Elephas maximus indicus: one gene and its partners. The protein of the gene in region 2 binds, or shares a complex with, the protein of the main gene of each other region. Links are inferred from orthologs where the notes say so. Each region holds a gene or a part of one and is shown on either strand. Other genes may lie near its edges.

Region 1 (7,450 bases), on a different chromosome or scaffold from region 2:
CTCAAAACGATATGTGTATTGTTTAATGAGAAACTAATTTGCAATAAACCTTCATCTAAAGTACAATAAAAAAATATATATATGGAATACACAACTGAGCTTGACTTAAACATTAAGTAAAATACAAAATAAATGACATTTTATATCTTTACACAACTTACTGTGTTTTCTAAAACATATTTTTCTTAGATAACTATATCTCCTACCATTATTTTCACTTACTTTAAGAAGTATCTCTGACCAGAAGACGTTTTCGCCATTTCCCAGCCTGCTGGCAGAGGTACATCATCAGGTATTTCAAAAGAAGACTGTCGAAGATGTTGAGCAGTAGGTGTAGCTGCTGGGCCAGAGACTACTCCAGTGGGGCTCAGGGCCCCAGGAGAAACTGCTCCCAGCTGCAGGGAAGCTGGAGAGGAATGCGCTCGAACGTGCTGTGGAGCCAGGGCCCCTGCAGTTCCTGCATCAGTACTGACCTATCAGGAATATTAAAATGAAAATTAAAAAAACAGAATTTTTAAAAGAGAGTTCTTTTTAAACTTTCTAGATAGAATTTCATTGCAACCCAGTATCTAAGAACCAAAGGCAAAATTCAGCATTTAATACTTGACCCTGAGGAAAACCGTTTGGCAAATGCATACTTTTAAATGGTTTATGTGATTTTGTTCTAATATATATTTTCACAAACAGTTGTAATTTTAATAAACAGTCCATCTAAGTGATTTGTTTTTTTACCCATTAGGCACACGTGTACATCTTTTAAAGGCCACTGGTAAAGAATGCAAACTCTAGTGGCATGGTGGTTAAGAGCTACGGCTCCTAACCAAAAGGTCAGCAGTTCGAATCCACTAAGTGCTCCCTGGAAACCCTATCGGGGCAGTTCTGCTCTGTCCTTTAGAGTTTCTGTGAGTAGGAATCAACTTGATGGCAACAGGTTTGGTTTTTGGTAGTAAAGAATGAATGAAACATGCCTAATAAATACTGAATTTTACATAATTTCTAAAAGGTCAAGGCAGTTTGGGGGCTTTCACGAGTTCTAAAATGTCCCAGGTATAAACATAACCCAAGAAGTATAATGACTATGTCTCTTTTTTTTTTTTCTCCTAAACTGAGCTTTAATTAATTTTTTTTCCAGGCCAAGGTCTAAACACATGATGTTTGTCATTTTTTTCCCCTCACTATGGACAAATGTTGGAAACCTTGGTGGCATAGTGGTTAAGTGCTACAGGTGCTAGCCAAAAAGTCAGCAGTTCAACTCCACCAGGCGCTCCATGGAAACTCTATGGGGCAGTTTCTACTCTGTACTACAGGGTCGCTATGAGACATAATCGACGCGATAACAATGGGTTTGGTTTGGTTTTTTTAATGGACAGATGTTGTCAACCAATCATCACAAGTTATACAACTTCTAATGAATGCAGAATATTCAGAACCATCCAAAAGTTCTTAAGTAAAGCCATTTCAATGGATGAAATGAAAAACCAACAATATATTTGTACCTAGATGATAAAAACATTAACAGTTCGATTACTAATGTAAAACTCAAACCCTCATATATTTACAACTGTGTAACAGAAAAAAAAAAAAAATTCTCCACTCAGACCCTAAAGATCTGGGTCCAGTCTAAGCTCCTTTAACTTTTTGGCTAGTATTACACACCGAACAAACATCTTAATCTCTGTAAGCCTCAGTTTCCTCATCTGTAAAACAGTTTTTGTTTTCAGGATGAAAAAATGGGGGTAATAAATGATATAAAGGAGCCCTGGTGGTACAGGAGGAGCCCTGGTATCACAATGGTTAAGCATTTGGCTGCTAACCAAAAAGTCAGCAGTTCGAATCCACCAGCCTCTCCTTGGAAACGCTATGGGGCAATTCTACTCCGTCCTATAGAGTCACTATGAGTCGGAATCGACTTGACAGCAAAGGGTTTGGGTTGGTTTTTTGGTTTGGTGGTGCAGTGGTTAAGTGCTCAGCTGTGAACCAAAAGGTCAGTGGTTCGAACCTACCAGCCTGCCCTGCAGGAGAAAGGTGTGGTAGTCTCTCCTTCCATAAAGATTAAACCCAGAAAAAAGCTTAGCCAAAGCAAAAAACCAAACCCATTGCCAGTGAGTCAATTCCAACTCATAGGGACCCTACAGGATAGAGTAGAACCGCCCCCATAAGGTTTCCAAGGAGTGACTAATAGATTCCAACTGCCAAGCTTTTGGTTATAGCAGCCCAGGTCTTCACTACTGTGCCACCAGGTCTTCAACTCCACATAAACCAAAAAGAATTACAACTGGAAAGTGTACTTATTCTTCTAGTAAGTAATTACACAAGAATTTATATCCAGCAGTTTGTGGATAGGACAGCCTCCCGTTCTTGCCCATATGAAAATAGAAAATTCTAACTTTTTGATAAAACCCTAACCAATGGGTTAAAAAAAAATTATACTCAATTTTGAACAGTATGAATTTGTGTTGTAAATACTATTGTTCATAAACTCTTGAATGTAAATTCTTAGGTTTATGTCATATATCCAAACCGAACCCACTGCCATCAAGTCAATTCTGACTCATATCAACCCTATAGGACGGAGAACTGCCCCACAGGGTTTTCAAGGCTGTAGTCTTTGTGGATTAATCTTGATGGATTACAGCCCTGGAAACCCTATGGGGCAGTTCTCCTCTACAGGTTCGCTATGAGTCAGAATTGACTCCACAGCAGTGGGTTTGGTTTGGTTATATGATATAAACCTAAGAATTTACATCTAACAGTTTATGAACAGTAGTATTTACAACACAAATTCATACTATTCAAAATATAGTGTTTTTTTTTTAATCCATTGATTAGAATTAGAGTTTGATTATCAGAAGGTTAGAATTTCCTACATTCATATGGGCAAGGAAGGGAGACTGCCCACCAACTGCTGGATATAAATTCTTGTGTAATTACTTATTAGAAGAATAAGTTCACTTTTCAGTTGCAATTCTTTTTGGTTTATAGATGCCACAAAATGGGGAATTCAATCTCCTGTGTGCATTATACTTATAGTAAGTAAATAGCACCGTAGTTTGTACTCTGTAGGGTGCATGCCTACACACTTTATCCATAACGAGCCCAGAAGCTCACCTGCAGGGTTAAAGAAAAAAGCATACCTAAGTCTACCTCTTACAAATTGTTTAGGCAAGCAGCTAAACTGTTTTTTTCTATCACGTCCTTAACCCGGGTTTTTGACAGTAAGCTTTTCTGAGTTCCAAAATTCCTTCGGTTTGCCCACAAGAATATACTACAGGCCTGCAAATATGAGGAGGAATGGGAGTGGGTGGGGGGGGGGAACCTCTTCTTTCCACTCAAGTTACAGCCCGAGTGGACAAACTACGATGCAGTATTTGGAAAACCAATTAGCTTTTGGCCAAAGTTCCTATGCTGAAGTTTAGCCATAGCAACTTCTTCAAAAAAAAAAAAAGGGGGGGGGGCGACACCTACAAAAGCCTTCAGTAAAAAAAAATATATATATATACCTACCGGGACCTACTGGAATGTTAAAACTTTCCTAATAAATAGTTCCACTTCAATATTAAAACAAGTTGACAAAATAGTCGAACGTTGTGTTTGCGGAAAAGCAGCCATGTTCATATCCTCAATAAGAATTAAAAAGCAATGGCGATCCTAGAATTAGTCATCGCTTCCCAAACATTAACTTTTAATCAGAGTTGAACCAGGCAGGACTTGGCCTATGAGTCAACCTGCAGGGTATTATCAAAGGCTGTGTGTTAAAACCTCGGTACTGTAAAGCTCAACTCAGGTCCTGCGCAACGTGCAGATGTGGCTAATTTAAAAGCATTTCAGCAGACTGTAAATAATAGCCTAAAATTGGGAAACCAACACATGAATCTACCGAGTTTGATAAGAGTGAGCCTGCCTGAGTTCCAAGCGCAAGGGAAGTGCAGGAGTGAAAGAACGAACTCCATAAACAACTTCCAGGAAAGTCTGGGCAGGGGAAGCCCGGATCCTGTATTCCGAATGGGCCGGGGCAGCGAGGAAAATAAATGCTTTCGGTCGGGGGAGGGGGAGAAAGAGCAAGAAAACGAACAGCACTAGTTCCACCCCCACCCCCTAATCAACACTGGAAAACAAGAGAACAATTATTTGACTCCCCAGGAGACTGAAGAGGACCGAGAGGCCCCGAAGGAAAAGGGGCCCAGGGCTCAACTTCACAAACTCGGCCGCCGCTGGCAACTCACCCACTCGGATGCCAGAGGCCCCCCTCCCCCTCCCCGGGCCGCGGCTGGAGCGAAGGTGCGGAGCGCGCGGAGACGCGCGCATTGTGCAAGCCCACCGCGGCCCGGGCGGGCTCTCCCCACCCCCTTCCTTCCTCCCCACCTCCCCCTTCACTCCCGCCAACCTCCTGGGAACCCCGGGAAGAAAGAAAGAAAGGAAGAAGGGCAGAGCGCACCCCCTGGGGCTGCAACCGCAGAAACTCCAAAGGGAAAAACAAATCTCGGCCCCGGACTCCAGGAAGAGTGGGGAGCCGAAAACCGCGGCCGAGCGGGGGCCTCCAGTTCCTCCAACTCACCGGGATAGCCCTACCCCTCGCCAGGGTTCCCGGAATCCCCACCCCGACCTGGGGCCCGCCCGACAGGGAAGGGGTAGGTTACCTGTCGGTTGTGGGATTTGGGCTCCGGCGGCTTAAAGAAGGAGTCCGGCAGCTTCCGGAGCCTCATGGGCACGGTCGGGGGCACGTTGGCCGTCTTGGGGTTCATGACGGCGTTGAAGAGCGCCTCCAGGTCGGTCTCCGAGTCCCCCCGGACGTGCACGATCTGGTGCCCGGCGGGGGGGGCCTGCGGCGCCGCCTGGGATCCCCGGGGCGCCGGCTGCCCGGGCCCGGACGGCGGGTCCTGCCCCTGGGGGGGCTGCGCGGGCGTCTGCCCTTGGCCCTGGGGGGCAGGCTGAGGCGGCGGCTGCTGCCCGGCATCCATGGCTTCTGCCTCTCCCGACGCGCACCCCCTGACCAGGCGGGCGAGGGCTCCGCCCGGGCGGCCCGGCTCGACGGGCCGAGACTAGAGAAGCGGCGAGGGCGGCGGGCCGGGCGGCGCTGGGCGTCGGGAGCGGCGCGCTCCTCGCTCTTAGGGCCGAGGGGCTGCGCCGCGGCCCCGCATCCCCCGCCCCGGCGCCTCCGCCCCCGCCCTGCGCCCGGGCTCCACTGGTCTGGCGGCTGCGCCTCGGGAGGGGCTGAGAGAGACCCGGACCTGCGGCGCCTGAGAACTTTTTTCCCCTTCAACTCCCTTGACTGAAGCCGGACAACTAGTCGCCTTTCCCCTCCCCCTTTCTCTTTTATTTCCTTTTCTTGTTCCTTCCTTCCTCCCTTTCTTTTCCCCGGCGGCGGCTGTGCCCGACTGAGACAGAAACTCGCCTCAGACGCCAAAACTGAAGTTGAGAGAACTGCCCGCCCGAGCCGCTCGCCGGCTCCGCCTCCTCCCAGCTCTTCCTTCCTCTGCGCGCCCGCCCGCACCGAATCCGCGGCCGGCCGCCGAGGGAAACTTTTCCCTGCAAGTTACTACATTCCTGCAAACTCCCAGCTTCCAATGCCTCTCCCAGCCGCACGTGACCAACTCGCCCTCAACCCAGTCCTTCGCCTGTGCTTCAAGGGCAGAGGCTGAGGGGGTGCTTGGACCTCCGCGCCGCGAGGACTGACGGCCGGGCGGATGGGAAACGTTGGGTCCAAACTGGGTCTGAGCTCTCGTCTGTGCAGAGAACGCGGCCGCCCTTGGCCGCAGGAAGTTCTTCCGCCCCGCCCGGTCCCTCCCCGCCGATCCTCGGAAAAAGGCTCGGTCCAGCTCGCCAGGAGATGCGAAATGGCTAAGGCCGAAAGAAGCCTGGAGAGGGTGAAACTCCACTTAAACCCTCCCCGCGTTAGCTCGACTTAAACCAGCAGTAGTGTCAATACGGGGTTAAAGGCGCAAAAATAGGTTGGAGTTAGAATAGGTACCAGTAACAGGCACCGATCTTAACAAATGTCTGTTTAACAGTAACTGGATTTTGTAGTTTTTCACTCACCTCTTTGCATGCAAAAAAAGGATAAATGATCACAGCATCTAGATAGTTTGTGGCTAGTTCTGTGACTCAGTGTAACTTCAAAAAAAAAATTACCTCTTTCCAGTGAATTAAGGTGCGTAAGTTTTTTTTTTTTTTAAGTGAAAACATCAACTTTTGTGGCATTCAGACTTGCAACATACCCACTGGAAACCTCTACGTGAAAAATCAGTGTTTACTTTCGGTTACAAACAATTTTCAGTGTAGCTGCCTTTCATCCTAGAGGAGCTGTGAACCTATCCCATCGTTATCCCCGTGCCTGACACAACCGTGGACTCCGTGAATGTTGCATGAGTAAGAAATGAATGGGCGAGGAAATCATTCCAGGCACCTGATCCTAGATATAGCCGTGTCACGTATGCTTGGAGTCCACTTGAAATCACTCAAATGCAATCAAAATTTTTTTTTTAATTCAAAATATCATTATGATTTTTTAAAAAAGTTTTGAGATATATGCAATTGTATGTCTGACACATACACAATTCATCCATTTAAGCAATACAATGCTTTTTAGTAAATTCACAGAGTTGTGCAACATTGCTCAGATTTTAAACCACTACCCGCCACTGCGCAGCTCTGGTGCTAACCAAAAAGGCTGGCAGGTCCATTGCGTCAGCTGCTCCTTGGAAACCCTATGGGGCAGTTCTACTCTGTCCTATAAGGTCGCTACCAACGCCTTTGGCTTGATTTTTTTACTCACTGCCATGGAGTCGATTTCCACTCAGTGACGGTATAGCACAGAGCAGAACTGCCCCATAGGGATTCCAAGGTTGTAATCTTGATGGAAAGAGCCACATCGTTCGCCCCGCGGGAGCGGCTGGTGGGTTTGGATCTTTTGGTTAGGAGCCGAGTGCTTTAACCGCTGCGCCACCAGGGCTCCTTAAACCACTAGCCCATTCTAAAGAAATCTGGCTTCTTGTTTCAATGATTTTGTCGACAATGCTAGTGAAAAAAAAATGTAAATAGGATTAAGCAAGAAAAGGGCCCCTTTGCAAAAAAAATAATCTCTCCCTCCAGCCAGGACTTGCCCATGGGAATTTTGAATAGGGATCTCTCGCTTGGTGTATGGCAGGGCCAGGGGCTGTGGCATCAGACACTCAAGATTCTAACCCCCACTCTGACTACTTCCTCTGAAGAATGGAATCAGATTAAATGATGCCCACCATCCCATCTTGGATTTACTTCTCCAATCTCGCCCCCCGAAAATGTTAAACTTCAAGTGCATTTAACTACAAACTTGTAGGTTCTGGAGTTACAGAGATTTCAGTTGTCCCAGTTCCACCATTTTCTAGCTGTGAGGCATTGGACAAGTTACTTACTCCCTCATCTTTAAAATGGTCTCACATTTAAAAAGACTCACCATTATCTTGCATCATTT
Region 2 (7,212 bases):
TTAAGGTAGCTCATTTATTTCCCCATTATAGGCCAACCATGTCAGAGTTCTCTAAAGTCCAAAAGGCAGATGCTAGAGACTGAAATGGAAGAAAGAAGTTCCTTTCTCAGGACCAGCCCCGTTAAGAGAAAGTCACCAGACCTGTCTGGTGAGAGAAACCGGGTCACCTCCAAAGCTTTGGGGGAGTCACTTGCCATAAGAGTTTCTGCCTGGTTTGGAACCTTGAAACAAACCCAGCACATCTTCAGGAAAAAAAGGAGAAAACCGGGGACCCAGAAGGCACCAAAGTGGGCCTGCCAGCTTCCCCTGTAGAATTAGCTCTGATGAGAGTCCTTCACTTGAGTTCCGTGATGTGGCCAAACTTCAACTCTGGGGAAGGAACTTGATGAGGCTGACTGAGTTCCAGCAATCTTGCCAGTTGGAGGAGCCACCCGTTGATGTCAGGCCAACCAGCGTTCTCAGTGGTCCAGCGAGCATGCAAGTCAGCTTTGGCAGTAAAGCTGCTCCTCAGGGCTAAGGCCTGATTATTTTGCTTTTGGCACAGAATTGTGCGACAAATGCTAGACCGTTGACGCTGGATTAATACCAGCTAATATTTGTTGAACGTGTACTATGGCACTTTGTGTGCACTTATTTTATGAAACTGCACAGCAATTCTAAGAGGAGGGTACCGTTTTTAACTCCCACTTTTTTACAGATGAGGGCACAAACGTGAGCCAGGTTAAAAGCCTTGCCCAAGGCAGGCCAGAATGCAAACTCAGACAGTCTGACTCCAGAACCCACATTTTTCACTTTTATTGAGTTACACAGCCTTTAGGGCAAGCCCCTTATGTTACAAACGAGGAAACTGAGGCTCAGGAAGGTACAGTGGCTTATCCAAGTTCGCACAGCCAGTCAGGGGCACGATTCAAGTCTCCTAGAGACCAGTTCAGGGCTGCCTGGACTCTGGGGTGTGGTGGGGGCGATTTGGTGACTTTTTCCAGCCGAAGGGCTGGACCCGGGGACTCAGCTGATCCTGCCCGCCAGCCCCGGTCCAGGCACCGCCGGCTGTGCAGATGACTCAAAGGGCTGGAACTGCACTTTCCACCCCGCCCCTCCCCGTCCCGTCCCGTCCCGCTGCTCTGAGAGCCCAGTTCTCGGGCTGGGCAGGTGACAACTCGTTTAAGTGAAACCGAGAAAGCACCGCCCCTCGGGGCTGGGCGGGTGGGGAGCGCCTCTCAGTCAGCGCGTAGCAGCTTCCGCTGGGCCCCGGGGGGCAGCACGAGGTCGTGCCGCCCGCGCTCCGCCACCCACTCCTCACTGGCCAATTGGGCCCTAGGGGCGGTACCCTTGTCAGCTTCCTCCTGTGACTGGGCAGGCTTGGCCGCGGCCCCGCCTCCAGCCGCCGGCTGAGGGGCGGGAGTGCGCGAAGCGGTCGCAGGCCCTGGCGTGCTGCTGCTGCATGGTGCGGCGACGGCGGGCGCGGTCGGTTTGGACCGGCCTCGGTTCCCCGCAGCTCTGCGTTTTTCCTGCCAGCCCCGTGTCATTTTGTCCCCATCTCCGAGGGCTGGGGGGGGCGTCCGCCTCTCCTCAGATCTGGGGTTTTCATGGCGGCCTCGTAGCCCTGCCTCAGGTCGTCCTCCCTCCGCTTAGAGCTGGGCCCTTGTTGGGACTCCTTTCCGCTTTCGGACGTGGGGTCCTCAGTGCCGCTCACCGCAGCGTCCCCCAGCGTCGCTGCCCTGAGACTCACGCCCTCTCAGGTTGAGCTCTCCGGCCTCGTGCGCTGCAGCACCCACTCACCTCTCCTCAGCCAGAGTCGCCGCGCAGCCTTTGCGTTCACCTGTCCCAGCGGGGACCAGCCCAAGGTCACCCTGTTGGAGAGAGCTGAACCCCGGGCTCTCCTTTGGAGTCACTGCTCCCAAAGTCCCACCTGTGGGTCATGAGCCAGCCCCATGGGAGGTCAGGACTCTAAGTCAAAGGTCCAAAGTCAGGGACTCGTAGACTATACACCAATCCCAGTCCCAGCCCACGGCCAATAACTGGAAGACAGGAGGAATGTCACAGGGGAACTTTATTGAGAGGAAACATGGTCACACCCAGCAGACATGCTTTCCCTCTCTCCCATCCTTGGTCTTACTCTCACACACTCAGTCACACAGACACACACTCATCCCAGCCTCCACCATACAGTCCAGCTCTCAGCCACAAGGGTGGGACACTCCTCAATTCCTAAGATCTTGGGGCAGAAGGGAGGCAGGAGGGGAGACGAAGAGGCCCGGCTCCCGGGCAGGGCGGGAGAAAGGGGGTGCAGAGAGCAGGAGCGGGTGGGGTGACCAGCGGTCAGAGCACCTGACAGCACATGAAGTGTGGGATATTCTGGCTCCAGGTGGCTTCAGCTCTGCCGGTCCCTCTCCACGGAGCCTTCCTGAGCTGGGGGCAAAGCACTCAGGGAGAAGGAGCAGGCTTCCCACCCCACACTAGTCCTCTCTGCAGGGGGTGGGGGCTGGAGCGGGCAGGGCAGGGCAGGTCGCAGGCGTGGCTCAGCTCTGGGGCTCCTCCGGAGCCTCGCCCCCCTCTTCCCCAGCACTGTCGGCCGTCCACAGCGTCAGATTGTCTCGCAGCAGCTGCATGATGAGGGTGCTGTCTTTGTAGGAGTCCTCGCTGAGAGTGTGCAGGTCAGCCATGGCCTCATCAAAGGTGGTCTTGGCCAGCGAGATGGCCTCCTCAGGGACGTTGGCAATCTCATAGTGGAAGACAGAAAAGTTCAGTGCCAGGCCCAGGCGGATGGGGTTGGTGGGTGGCATCTCCTTCTTGCTGATGTCCATGGCCTCTTGGTAGGCTGCCCGAGCTGCGTTGATAATGCGCTTCTTGTCGTCACCTGTGGCCACCTCGGCCAGGTAGCGGTAGTAGTCACCTTTCATCTTCAGGTAGAAGACCCGGCCCTCAGCATCACCAGCCTCCTTGATGAGGTGGGAGTCCAGCAGGCCCAGCACAGTGTCGCATACACCCCGGAGCTCAGTCTCCACCTTGTCCCGGTACTCTCGCACCTCAGGGCCCTTTTCTTCTGAGCCCTCCTCGTTGCTTTTTTGCTCGATGCTGGACAGGACCCTCCAGGCAGCCCTCTGGCCACCCACCACGTTCTTGTAGGCCACTGAGAGCAGGTTGCGCTCTTCGCAGGATAGTTCCTCACCCTTCTCCACGGCTCCCTTCATGAAGGCTGCCATGTCCTCATAGCGCTCGGCCTGCTCTGCCAACTTGGCCTTCTGGATCAGGCTGGCTCTCTCCATGGCTCTAGGGACAGATGGACAGGTGGCGAGCTAACTGGCTGCCTCAGGACCAATGCCGGACTGGGCTCTGTGGCTCTCCTGCTCTGTGCCTGCCTTTTGGCTGGGTGGCCTGGCCCAGAGGAGGGTGGGGAGGGGTAGGGGGTGGGACTGGGGCCCTGGACCTGCCTCCCTCTCCTCTCCACACCCTTTCCGGCTCTTCCTTAAAGGTAAAAGGGGGTGAGTCATCAGGACAGTCAGCGTCAGAAATGTGGGCGTGGGCCCCACCTGCATAGGCACCTTTCTGGGCTCCTGGCTGCCCCCTCTGTTCAGGGTTGCCATTACATGCCCATGTTAGGTAGCTCCCCAGTTTCTCAAATCGGATCCTCCTTCGTAGTGACCTTCTAGCCACCGAAGCACCCATAAGCCAGGTTCAAGAGAATGAGGCTCCTAATCCTGCTGGACATGTTTCCCCCTTGGTTCAGGTGAGGTAACTCATGCTTCGGTAGGGCTGTAGAGATTCCCAAGCATCTTCACAGCCACAACCTAATTTAATCCCTTTTTTACCCTTCTGTGGGAAACCCTGGTGGCGTAGTGGTTCAGTGCTATGGCTGCTAACGAACAGGTCAGCAGTTTGAATCGACCAGGTGCTCCTTGGAAACTCTACAGGGCACTCCTACCCTACCCTGTAGGGTCACTATGAGTCGGAATCGAGTCGAGGGGAGTGGGTTTGGTTTGTTTTTTTGGTACCCTTCTGTGAAATGTGCAGCACTGTGATTATTATTCCCACTTTAGAGATGGGAAAACTGAGTATAAGAGAAGGGTGAGATTAGCTCAGGGTCACACAGCTCTTTAATGTGGTGAAATCCATGTAAATTGTGCACTACAGATTAGTAAGTAAGCATAAGTAAGCCTGTGTGTACTTTGCTTATTGGGTAATCCATCCCTGCTCCTCAGGGTCCTGTCCCCTCTGAATTCCCAGAATGCAGGGGTGGGCAGCTTTCAAGGTGCCACTTAATGAGGTATTTAAGAAGCGGCCACTGACGCTCCAACCCAGCCTTTGTAATTAGTCACCCAGTAGGTTTGTCAGACACCTTCCCCATCACAGCACAATTTTCTCTTTCAAGTCAGTGGCCTGTTGCCACTTGTTTGAGGATTTACCCTCTGGCTCTCGATGGCAGGCCAGATGCCCCCCCCTCCTGAAGCTGCCTGCCATCATGTATCAGTGGGGCTCATGGAGGGTGGGGGCCCAGCTCCTTGGCTGTCCCACTTTCCTGCTTGACTCAGCCTGCCTTCTGTCAGAGGTTGGGAAGCAGGCCACCTGGGTGCTCAGGCCTGTTTGGTCCCGCAGGGGGGATGCCGGCAACCTGAGGAGAAAGATAGGCTGAGAAGGTGGTGGTGACATATACCATTTTGGTTTATGGGGCAGAAATCCCAGCTGAGTGCTGTCTCCCCAAACCTGCCTCTCAGAAGTTTCCCTGTGCCACTGCCCAGGGCCCCACCTCTGACCCCTGACAGAGGTCTCAGAGATGGAGACTTCTCCCTTGCCAACCTTCTATCCCTGCTCAGTGGGCCCCTGTCCTTGAGTCAGCCAAGAGTTTCACCTAAGGGTATTGGCGCTGAGCCTATGAGGGTGGGTTCCTGCTTATCTGTCCTACCCCTAGCCAAAGCTCAGACGGGAGTCTGGGGTGGGGCTTCCCTTTCAGGGATTCTACCAGCCTAATCCTTGAAGCCAGACCATTTCATAGGCCTGGGCCTCCCCTGGTTCCTCTTAGTGTCTGAACACCCACCTTCCCCTCCTGGAGGGAAACTTAGGCCAGAACTCTGAGGCCCAAAGTTGAGCTCTGCCTCTTTGCCACGAGGGAGAGTAGAGACATGCCAAGGCTGATGCTACAGATTTTCTAAGGAGGCGGCAGGGAACTTAGGTTTGACCTCCCAAAGGCTTTTGCTTAAATCAAAGCACTGACACAAAAGACGATGGCAAGGAAATGTACCAAAACAGCAGCTTACAGACGGCATCTTTAGGTAGTGATGCTGAGTGATTCTTTTTCCTTTTGATTTTCCTATTCTCTCCAAATTTTCAATCATGAACATTTTTTTTTTTTTTTAATGAGAGAGTCTAGAATCTTTGGAATGGGACTGCCTAGGCTCAATTCGTATAAGCTGTGTGGCCTTGGTCAAGTTACTTAACCTAGGTGAGCTTCAGTTTCTATACATGTAAAATGGGACTTCTGAGGTTCAAATGAGTTCATCGAAGCACTTAGCAGAGTGGATGGTAACTATTATTATGTGAAAAAACTCAGCCAGCTTTATTGTAAACATACACACAAAGCACTAACATGGAGCAGGATTCTATGAAATGAGGAAGGGCCCCAAACCAGGCCTCTGCTGAAGACCAGACCCTGTCCAGCCGGGTGTCCATGGGGGTAAAAAGGGTTTGCCCACAGGCTCCCCTCTCAAGATGGATAAGTGGTCAGATGTGCTCAGCCCTGCCTTCTCCTTCACCATCTAGGACATTCAAGGACCTTACTTGGCACTCATCAGCCAGCTTGGGCTTTCCCAAGTCCTAGGGGAAAGCTGGAGATCTTGGTACACTAGGAAGCTCGAAGGCAGAGCCTGGCACGTCTAGGAACTTTGGAGCTGTTTCTATATCCAGAGAGGGAGCATTCTCTCCTCACCACCTAAACCAGGAGACCTGGTGGTGGTTCACCACAAGCTCCATGCCCTCAGCACAGCCCTGAGAGGGGGAAGGGAAGCCCCTTCACTCCTGGCCCCCATCTGCTGAAGCTCATAGAGGAATCTGGGAGCCTTGCTGCCTGATACCTCTGGCCGGCTCTGGCCTGTTGATCCTGACTCAGTTCCTGTCTCAGGCACCTCCCTTTGCCTCCGGGCCTCCATTTCCCAAGTCTAGGAGCCCAGGTGGGCAGGAGGCAGCAGGCCCTGGCAGGGCACAGAGCTCCACAGTCAGCCACCTGAGTCAGCAGAATAGGAGCTGGGGCTGCAGCCCAAAGGGGCTTTCCTCATCCTGCCCACCTCCCCACCCCTCTGCATAGCGTCCATCCCACCGGCAGGCTCAAGGCCTCTGGGCCCACAACCAATTCTTCTTAGCTGGTAATAACAGACTTTGAAGGGTTGTGACACACAAACCCAGCAACCAGTTGCTATTTAACTTCACTGAGAACAGAGGACAGGGCTCTCTCATTGTAGCAAGAGGGATTCTGGTCAGATTCCAGAAAGAATTTTCTAGGACATTTTTGTCATGGAATGATCAAACTCAATAGGTGACCAGAGGGGGCTATGGCATCTTCTTCCCCTGGTGAGTTGTGAGCCAGAGTTATCCAGCCAAGAGCTTATGGCATTAGTTGCCTTTGGGTGGGAACACTGGATAAATTTTAAGTGACTTCAGCTGTTCTCTTTCTCCTCAAGGCACTATGGTTTAAAGGACCCCATATCTCCTAGACCAATCCACTCTAGAAGACTGGAATTTGGGGAAAGACAATGGAATGTGGTCAGGGTGTGGAACTGCATCCCAGCTCTGTTACAGGCCTTGGGCAAGTCCCTTCCTGCCTCTGGGCCTCAGCTATCCAGTCAGTACAATGAAGAGGCCAGCCCGTATTACCTCTCAGCCCCTTGCCGGCTCTGACTTCTCTTTTAGGGTTTCTCCCCCTGAGATGCTCATCCTCCTGGAGAAGCCTCATTCATTCCTCAGGTAGTGCAGACAGGTCAGAGATTGGGCAGAGATCAGGTTCAAATCCTGGACTGGGTGCTTTATCAGCTGGGTGATCCTGGGTAAGTCCTGTGACTTCCCTGAGCCTTAGTTCCCTCATCTGTAAAAAGGCTGACACTACCTTCCCCACAGGTTAAGGTGAGAAAACGGGCCTGGCACTTGCCGAGTCCTTGGTAGCTGGTAGCTGTAATTATTTTTTAGCTCTTGGCACACTGTGTGTGTGTGTCTCAATGCGGAGCGGCT
Region 3 (7,450 bases), on a different chromosome or scaffold from region 2:
GAAATGGTTCATTAGCTTCCGGCCACTACCTCTCTTTGCACCTAGGAAAAACAGCTCTATATTAGGTCATACTGGCTGAGTGCTTCTCCAGATGAACATACCTACATTGACTGTGACCTACCAGAGGGCAAATCACTGTGGAGATTCCCCACAACAGACTCAAGATAGAGCACTGCACTTCTATCTCTGAGGTTACATTTAGATCCAATCCCAAAAAGCTATATGAATAGATATTCTGCAAAATATCATTATTTTCTATATAGAAACCACAACTCTCAAACTCAATGGCCCAGCACGAACACAATCTTTGCCATTTTGCCATGGTGACCACACACCCATTTGCCCAGAATTGTCCGGATTTATATTTGTACCAGTCTAATTACTAGTGGCTCCCTATTTCACAATAAAAACTGTGCCAGATTAGACAATACATTATATGGTCATCCTACACATAGGTCCATTGAAAAGGGGACAAACCAGAGGCAACTTATTTGGGAATGTTCGCAGGCCTCCCACTCTAGGCTACCTTGTTCATTTATGGACAACGCTTAAAAACTAAAAACAGGATGTTTTAAAATAATGACCCTAAAGTTCGAATAAACAACTCTCCACTTCAAATGCAGATCTCAGAAGCAAAGCAAACAGCTGGTCTTCTTCCCTCTGAATTCAAGGGTGCCCAGAACTTTACAGAACCTATTCTGTATGAGGTATGTTCCTGGATGGCAGGACTACAGTGAATTCAACCCTTAACAAGTCCAGCTGCAAAATCACTACTTTGGGAAGTTTTATTTGTAAATTCTTCAAAAACTTCAGTCCTAACTCTTCCCACTGGTGTTGGCAAAGAATATTGGACTGCCAAAAGAACAAATAAATCTGTCTTGGAAGAAGTGTGGCCAGAATGCTCCTCAGAGGCAAGGATGGCGAGACTGCGTCTTACGTACTTTGGACATGTTGTCTGGAGGGATGAGTCCCTGGAGAAGGACATCATGCTTGGCAGAGTACAGGGTCAGCGGAAAAGAGGAAGACCCTCAACAAGGTGGATTGACACAGTGGCTGCAACAACGAGCTCAAGCATAACAACAACTGTAAGGATGGCACAGGACGGGCAATGTTTCGTTCTGTTGTGCACAGGGTCGCTATGAGTTGGAACCGACTCGACGGCACCTAACAACAACCAACAACTCTTCCCACTATGACAGCCATATAGATTGAACTCTGGAGTTCAAAAGGAAATGTAGCAAAAGCCTGAAGACTGTTTTCAAATTGCACTCATTTATTCAACAAATATTTATGCTAGAGACTGAAAAAAAAAAACCCTCCCCCTCCCCCCCATCAATGAATACAATCCTTAGATGTGTTTAGTTTGGCCCTTTAAAACCAGTTGCCATGAAGTCGGTTCCAACTCATAGCAACCCCCTGTGTGTCAGAGTAGAACTGTGCTCCATATGGTTTTCACTGGCTGCTTTTTCTGAAGTGAGTCACCAGGCCATTCTTCTAAGGCACCTGTGGGGGGACTTGAACCTCCAGCCTTTTGGTTAACCGACAAGAACATTAACTTGCACCACCCAGGGACTCCCTGGCCCATATAGGATTCTTAAATGTTTAAAATACTCACTAATATTTTAACATGTGAACACTCACATAAAAATTCAGATTTCCAGCTTCTCTCAGGAAAGTAGAAGCTCTGGCAACAGTAGCCTTGTGTTGCATTAAGTAAAGCAATTTCCAGCCAGTGCTGAAGGGCACCTTGAAAAAGGTCACCCGCTATTCAGTCCTCCTCCATCCTCACTCAACACTCTTCCCAGACATTTGAGTTGGTAACACCTGATTTATGGCTGGAGGTAATAATCCCTGGGGGGACCACATCTGACCCTTGAATTAATGATCCTCTGCCAGGGATTCTATAGGATCTGAGCAAATAAGAATCCATATATTCAGATATTCAACTGGGAAATGAAGATAAGCAGGAAAGTTAGTTTTTCCCTTCCTTTATCAGAAAACGATATGGCTTCCGTTGCTCCTGCTGGAAGGGGAAAATGAGCCCAAACGTGCTACTATTTGTAAAGGAATAGCACATTCAGCCTCTGGCACCTAAACACATAACGGAGGTAAATAAAAAGGATCTTTTAAATTGGCCTCCCACCAATGTGTCAAAGTAGGAGTCAAGAGCCACTGTTGAGAATTCAAAGTGCCACAACTCACAGATGAACTTTACACCATCACGAAATTAGCACCATCAAAAATAATGACAGGTTTCTTAAAGTTCTGGAAAAATGCCATTTATTCCTCCTTACTGAGAGAAGCAGGAAGCTGTAATACCATGAAGATTTAGTAATTTTCACAAATAAATCAAGAATATGCTGTACCTCAATTTCAACACATGTAAAAGCTTAAAAAAAAAGGGGGCTTGAACAAATAAATATCAAATTCACTTTAATCGTTGTTAGGATCTGTGGTCACAATTTAAAGTTGCTTTCTTCATAATGACAACTGAGTATTAAGATATGAAACTATTTTACAAAATAACTGATAATATCTAAGACAATGAACTTTTATTTTCATCAGTTCACCTACAAGCCGTTTGTGAAAAAACCACAGAACCAGAAAGTCTTTCAATTAGAGGTATTAGAATTATGAAAAAAGAAAAAATTAAAGCCGTACTTACAGGTTGTTTTTTCCATCTGACTATTGTTTTTAAAACCAAAAACCTAGTGCCGTCGAGTCACTCACAGAGACCCTGTAGGACAGAGCAGAACTGTCCCATAGAGTTTCCAAGGAGCGCCTGGAGGATTCGAACTGCCGATCCTTTAGTTAGCAGCCTAGCACTTAACCACTAAGCCACCAGGGTTTCCTATTGTTGTTACTACTAATCTCCCAGCTACCAAAAGCACCACCACATGGTGAAACCCGAGACCTTATTTATTTATATTTACAACACTATTCTTTCAAAATACTTTGCAAACATTAAATAATTAATCCTCTTAAAAACAGCACTTTAGAGTTTTTGATATATTAAAACTCTCTTTACACATTTAAGAAAAGGCTTGTTTTCTAAGAAACAATCATCGCGGTAAGGTTTTGTTCAGATTCCTCTAGCGTTTAGAAAAGAATCATGCTTGTTTCTAAGCAAATGAAGTCGACTGTTGGGTGACAACAGCTCGTCTGAAAAAAAAAAATACCATTAAAAAACAAATTCTGACCTTTTCATACAAAGCTCTTCCACTAGGATGAATTTTAAAGGACCTAGTATGTCTCCACCCGAGTGTATAAAAAACTGCTCCCCCCCCCGCAAAAAAAAAAAGTCTTCCTTCAACTCTACAGACAGCGTCGTACTTTGCTGACAATCTGACAACGCCTAGTAAACTATTCCCTAAACCCCTCTCGAAAAGAGTCTCCAGGATCGGAGACCCGCAGGTGCCAAGTGGGTTAAGAAGGAGGACTCGAATCAGACCGAGCGCAGGGCCTCTAGGAACTCAACCCTCTCCCGTGTTCGTAAACACGCACACACACACACACACACACACTACACACAAGTCCGGGAGTCTCCATCTCCGATCACCCTCCAAACAGCGCCATCCTCTCTGGACGCGCACCCCTCCTGCGTCCTTCTCGCGCGCGCCCGTTCGCTCCTCCTTGGTTCCGAGACCGTTCTCTGTCTCCCTGCTCTCCCTCATCCCTGGTCCTTCGGACCAGTCCACTCTGGCCGCCACTCAGCCCCGGAACATCTTTTCCCCGACTCCGGGACCGAGGCGGGGAGCGCAGGGCGAGCCCTCCAGCCGCGCCACGTGGAGGGCGCGCGCCAGTACACCGACCACAGTGCGCCAGAAAAGTGGGGCCCAGCCCCTTCGGCCCTGCTACCCAACCCCAGTGCGCCACCCCTCCCCGTGCATTCCCCGGCGTCTCCGAGCGGAGCTCTTGCCTGATTGGGGTCTGTGGCGCGGAATACGTGGCAGGCCATCTGCGACTCGGGGTCGTCGGGCTGCGCCTTAATCAGGTAGGCGAAGTAGGTGAGGTCGTGGCTGTTGTGAATGAAGCGCGAGATATGCTGCGCCTTGTGCTCGAAGATGAACACCGCCGGGTTGGGCTGCGCGGCTGTGGGGCCGGGGCCCCCTGCGCCCGGCGCGGGGACGCAGCGCAGGAGGGGCGAGCTCAGCACCAGGAGCACCTCGCGGGCCGGCTGCGCCCCGCAGCCGCCCGCCTCCGGCTTCTGGCTGCGCCGGCGAATCTCGGCCATGAGCCAGGGCAACATGGGCAGCGTGGTCCTGCGGTCCAGGCACGACCCCCCCACGTACCACAGTCGGAACCGCTTCTCGCCAGGCTTTCCCGGGGCTGACTGCGAAGAGGCGCCGGGCTCGGGCTCCAGGGGGTGCGGAAAGGGCTCATCCTGAATGCAGCTGGGGGTTTCCATAGTTCTCGCCTAAGGAGGGCACCGAGGCGGTCCAGCAGGCGCGCCGCGCCCCCAAGTCCGGCGCTGAAGGCGCTGCCGAAACTGTGCCAACTCCCACACTGGGCTCCCGCGCCCGCCTCGGTGCGGTGAGACACCGAACTCCAAGCCTCGGCGCCCCTGCCCCAGGCGGCACTTCCACGGACGCAGGTCCGAGGCTCCGGCGGCGAGCACGGAGGCGAGCGCCCGGCAGCCGGGCTCCAAGGAGAAAAAAAAAGAGGACGGATTAAATCGGCATCCTTCTTTCTCTAGCACATGCCTCAGGACCGGACTTCTTTCTTCGCCACGGGTCTGTCCGATCTGAGAACAACGCCGAGGGCCCTACGCCACCACCTCCCGCCGCGGCCGGTCGCCGCCTCCTCCAGCGCTGCAGATCGGCTGCGGCCGCCGCTCCGGCCTCGGGCAACCACTGGGAGGCTGGGCGGGGAATGGGCTGTGGGCGGGGAATGGGCTGTGGGCCCGAGGGGGGATTTGGGGAGGAGCTGACTCCTACCAGGGTGACCGGCTGTCACCTGGCAGGTCGGGGCTGCCGAGCTGCGGCGCGCTCAGTCCTCGGAAAGGATTTGCGAGAACTATCCCAGTGGAAAATGAGAAAAACATAACGTGGCCTCGCGGGGCCGCTCCTGCCGCCGCAGCCCAACTCGCTGCTCCTCCTACTGTTCCCGTCCCTCCCTCGCTCCTTCCTTCCTTCCCGGCCGCTTCTTTAATCAGGCTCCTACCCCGCCTCCCGTCCGGCTGGCGGTGAGGAACGCCTCCAAAAGCATAACTGTGAAATCACCTCTCCGCCTCTTCCTCGGACCCCCGCCCAGCCCGCCCCTCCACTCCACCCTTGGAACAGCTTCTCCGGGCCTGGCGCGGCTACTGCCCAGACCAACTCGGCCTCTCCCGACTGGCTGAGCTCTGCGTCCTCTCCAGGAGTCTCTACTGCCCCCTATGAGGCGTTGGAATTTTTTTTAGTAGTATTTGCTTAGCTTCAGTTCCTTCTGAATCTCAAATGCGTATTGATTTCTGAATTCTCCTTCTTAATAGTCTCAAATAATACTCGTGTTTTAAACCATATATTAGGATAAAATATTTTAATTCTGATTTTCACTTTAAAATATTATATGGCAAACAGTTTTTCCCGTTCTTAACGCAGCCAACTTCTGAAAATATGGAGAAATTACACTTATTATATATACCTTTGCTGGAAACCCTGGTGGCATAGTAGTTAAGGGCAGCAGCTGCTAACCAAAAGGTTGGCAGTTTGTAATCCACCAGGCGCTCATTGGAAACCATGTGGGGCAGTTCTACTCTGTCCTATAGGGTCACTATGAGTCGGAATCAACTCGAAGGCGGTGGGTTTTGTTCTGTTTTCTTGGTTTTGCTGTTTCCGAGAAGTATTCGAAGCTGTTTACAGATATACAAACAATATAAGAAGATATAAAATAAGAGAAGTAATGGGATGAGGGGAGGATAGGAAAGATGAAGTTAGGAGCAGTTTCAATACCCAAAATACATACCATAATTTTCTAGAGATTGGTGACAACGTTTCAGAGATCGTGTAGAGATTTCTCACATTTTTATGTAGCAATGCATGTTTCCAAGAAACTCAAAAACATCTCAGGGATCATTTAATCATTCTAATTTTTAAATAAGAAAAAGATTTTTTTTTCCCATTTTTAGCAAATCTGACTCTCAGTCATTGTATTAGTTTCCTGCTGTTGTGTGCTGTCCAGTAGATTCCAACTCATGACGACCCTATAGGACTGAGTGGAACTGCCTCATAGGGTTTCCTAGGCTGTTATCTATAAGGGGGGAAACCCTGGTGGCATAGCGGTTAAGTGCTACGGCTGCTAACAAAAGGTTGGCGATTTGAATCCACCAGGCACTGCTTGGAAACCCTATGGGGCCGTTCTACTCTGTTCTATAGGGTGGCTATGAATCAGAGTCGACTCCACGGCAATGGGTTCGGTTTTTTGTTTTTTGTTTTTTTTAATCTGTACGGTAGCAGATCACCAGGTCTTTTCTCCTGCAGAATTGCTAGTGGGTTCAATCTGCCCACCTTTAAGTTGGCAGCAGAGAGCGTAACCACTGCACCACCAGAGTTCCTTATTAGTTTTGTAGAGCTGCAGTAACTGGGTGGCTAAAAGCAACTAAAATTTATTCTCTCACAGTTCTGGAGACCAGAAGTCTGAAATCAAGTATCAGCAAGGTGGGTTCCTTCTGGAGGCTCTGAAGGAAAATCTGTTCATGCTCTCTCAGCTTCTGGGGATTGTTGGCAATCGGTGTTCTTGGCTTGCAGCTACATCACTCCATTCTCTGCCTCTCTGTGTGTCTCTGTATCTTTTCACATGTCCTTCTTATAAGGACACCAGTCATTGGATTTAGGGCCCACCCTAATCCAATATGATCTTGTCTTAACTTTATTACATCCTCAAGGACCCCACTTCCAAATAAGGGCACATTCACAGATACCAAGGGTTAGGACTTAAACATATCTTTTGAGGGGACACAGTTTAACCCATCGCAGTCACTCCTTCTTTTTACTCTCACTGAATTATAATTAAGAATTGGATCAGAAGTAAACACAAAACAAATGGGAAAGGCACTGAAGGTTTCCGACTTTCACCAGTGTGCTTAGAGGAAGAATGAAAACCCAAGTTTCTCAAATGTTATTACTTTAGTGGTGTTCTCATTTTCTATAAAACCCTTGAACTATTTTCTCCTGTCTATGTAACATCAATATGGTCAACTGCCATTTATTCCTATGCTGAATTTCTGGGTGCACCTGATGCCTGTCATAATTATCTAAGCTCCAAAAAAGAGATATTATTAATTGCTTAGATTAAGTCATTTGGTTAACCATTCCACCGAAATTTTGTGTAAAATAACCTATGTCTTAAAGAAGCAATGGAAACTTCTTGAAACATAGACCGAAATTTATCAGAAACTCTCCTGCACAGATTCCATTTTCCTAGGTCACAAATCCTTAGACACAAGGATGGCAAGACTGCGTCTTACATA

What was found. Proteins that work in one complex are often made in the same cells at the same time.
Region 1: the proteins of SFN (region 2) and YAP1 are in contact, whole or in part, in a crystal structure (PDB 6G6X), measured with the Homo sapiens proteins. The link is inferred for Elephas maximus indicus from reciprocal best matches to the Homo sapiens genes SFN and YAP1. Residues at the interface, in NP_006133.1 of Homo sapiens: Lys11, Glu14, Cys38, Glu39, Asn42, Leu43, Val46, Lys49, Arg56, Lys122, Arg129, Tyr130, Gly171, Leu174, Asn175, Val178, Glu182, Leu218, Leu222, Asp225, Asn226, Leu229, Trp230; in NP_001123617.1 of Homo sapiens: Ala125, His126, Ser127, Ser128, Ala130, Ser131, Leu132, Gln133.
Region 3: the proteins of SFN (region 2) and TBC1D4 are in contact, whole or in part, in a crystal structure (PDB 7NIX), measured with the Homo sapiens proteins. The link is inferred for Elephas maximus indicus from reciprocal best matches to the Homo sapiens genes SFN and TBC1D4. Residues at the interface, in NP_006133.1 of Homo sapiens: Asn42, Ser45, Val46, Lys49, Arg56, Arg60, Phe119, Lys122, Arg129, Tyr130, Glu133, Gly171, Leu174, Asn175, Val178, Tyr181, Glu182, Leu218, Ile219, Leu222, Asp225, Asn226, Leu229, Trp230; in NP_055647.2 of Homo sapiens: Arg637, Arg638, Arg639, Ala640, His641, Thr642, Phe643, Ser644, His645, Pro647.

Annotation. Positions count from the first base shown.
Region 1 is NC_064825.1:18,547,307-18,554,756, forward strand, and holds the start of YAP1 (transcriptional coactivator YAP1), read right to left. Parts: upstream 5,052-7,450; 5' UTR 4,959-5,051; coding exon 4,638-4,958; intron 474-4,637; coding exon 223-473; intron 1-222. UniProt on the Homo sapiens protein: Transcriptional regulator with dual roles as a coactivator and corepressor. Critical downstream regulatory target in the Hippo signaling pathway, crucial for organ size control and tumor suppression by restricting proliferation and promoting apoptosis.
Region 2 is NC_064821.1:67,303,051-67,310,262, reverse strand, and holds SFN (14-3-3 protein sigma), read right to left. Parts: upstream 3,397-7,212; 5' UTR 3,267-3,396; coding exon 2,520-3,266; 3' UTR 1,864-2,519; downstream 1-1,863. UniProt on the Homo sapiens protein: Adapter protein implicated in the regulation of a large spectrum of both general and specialized signaling pathways. Binds to a large number of partners, usually by recognition of a phosphoserine or phosphothreonine motif.
Region 3 is NC_064832.1:68,291,581-68,299,030, forward strand, and holds the start of TBC1D4 (TBC1 domain family member 4), read right to left. Parts: upstream 5,125-7,450; 5' UTR 4,409-5,124; coding exon 3,920-4,408; intron 3,905-3,919; exon of another isoform or gene 3,675-3,904; coding exon of another isoform or gene 3,594-3,674; exon of another isoform or gene 3,550-3,593; coding exon of another isoform or gene 3,532-3,549; exon of another isoform or gene 2,666-3,531; intron 1,290-2,665; exon of another isoform or gene 1-1,289.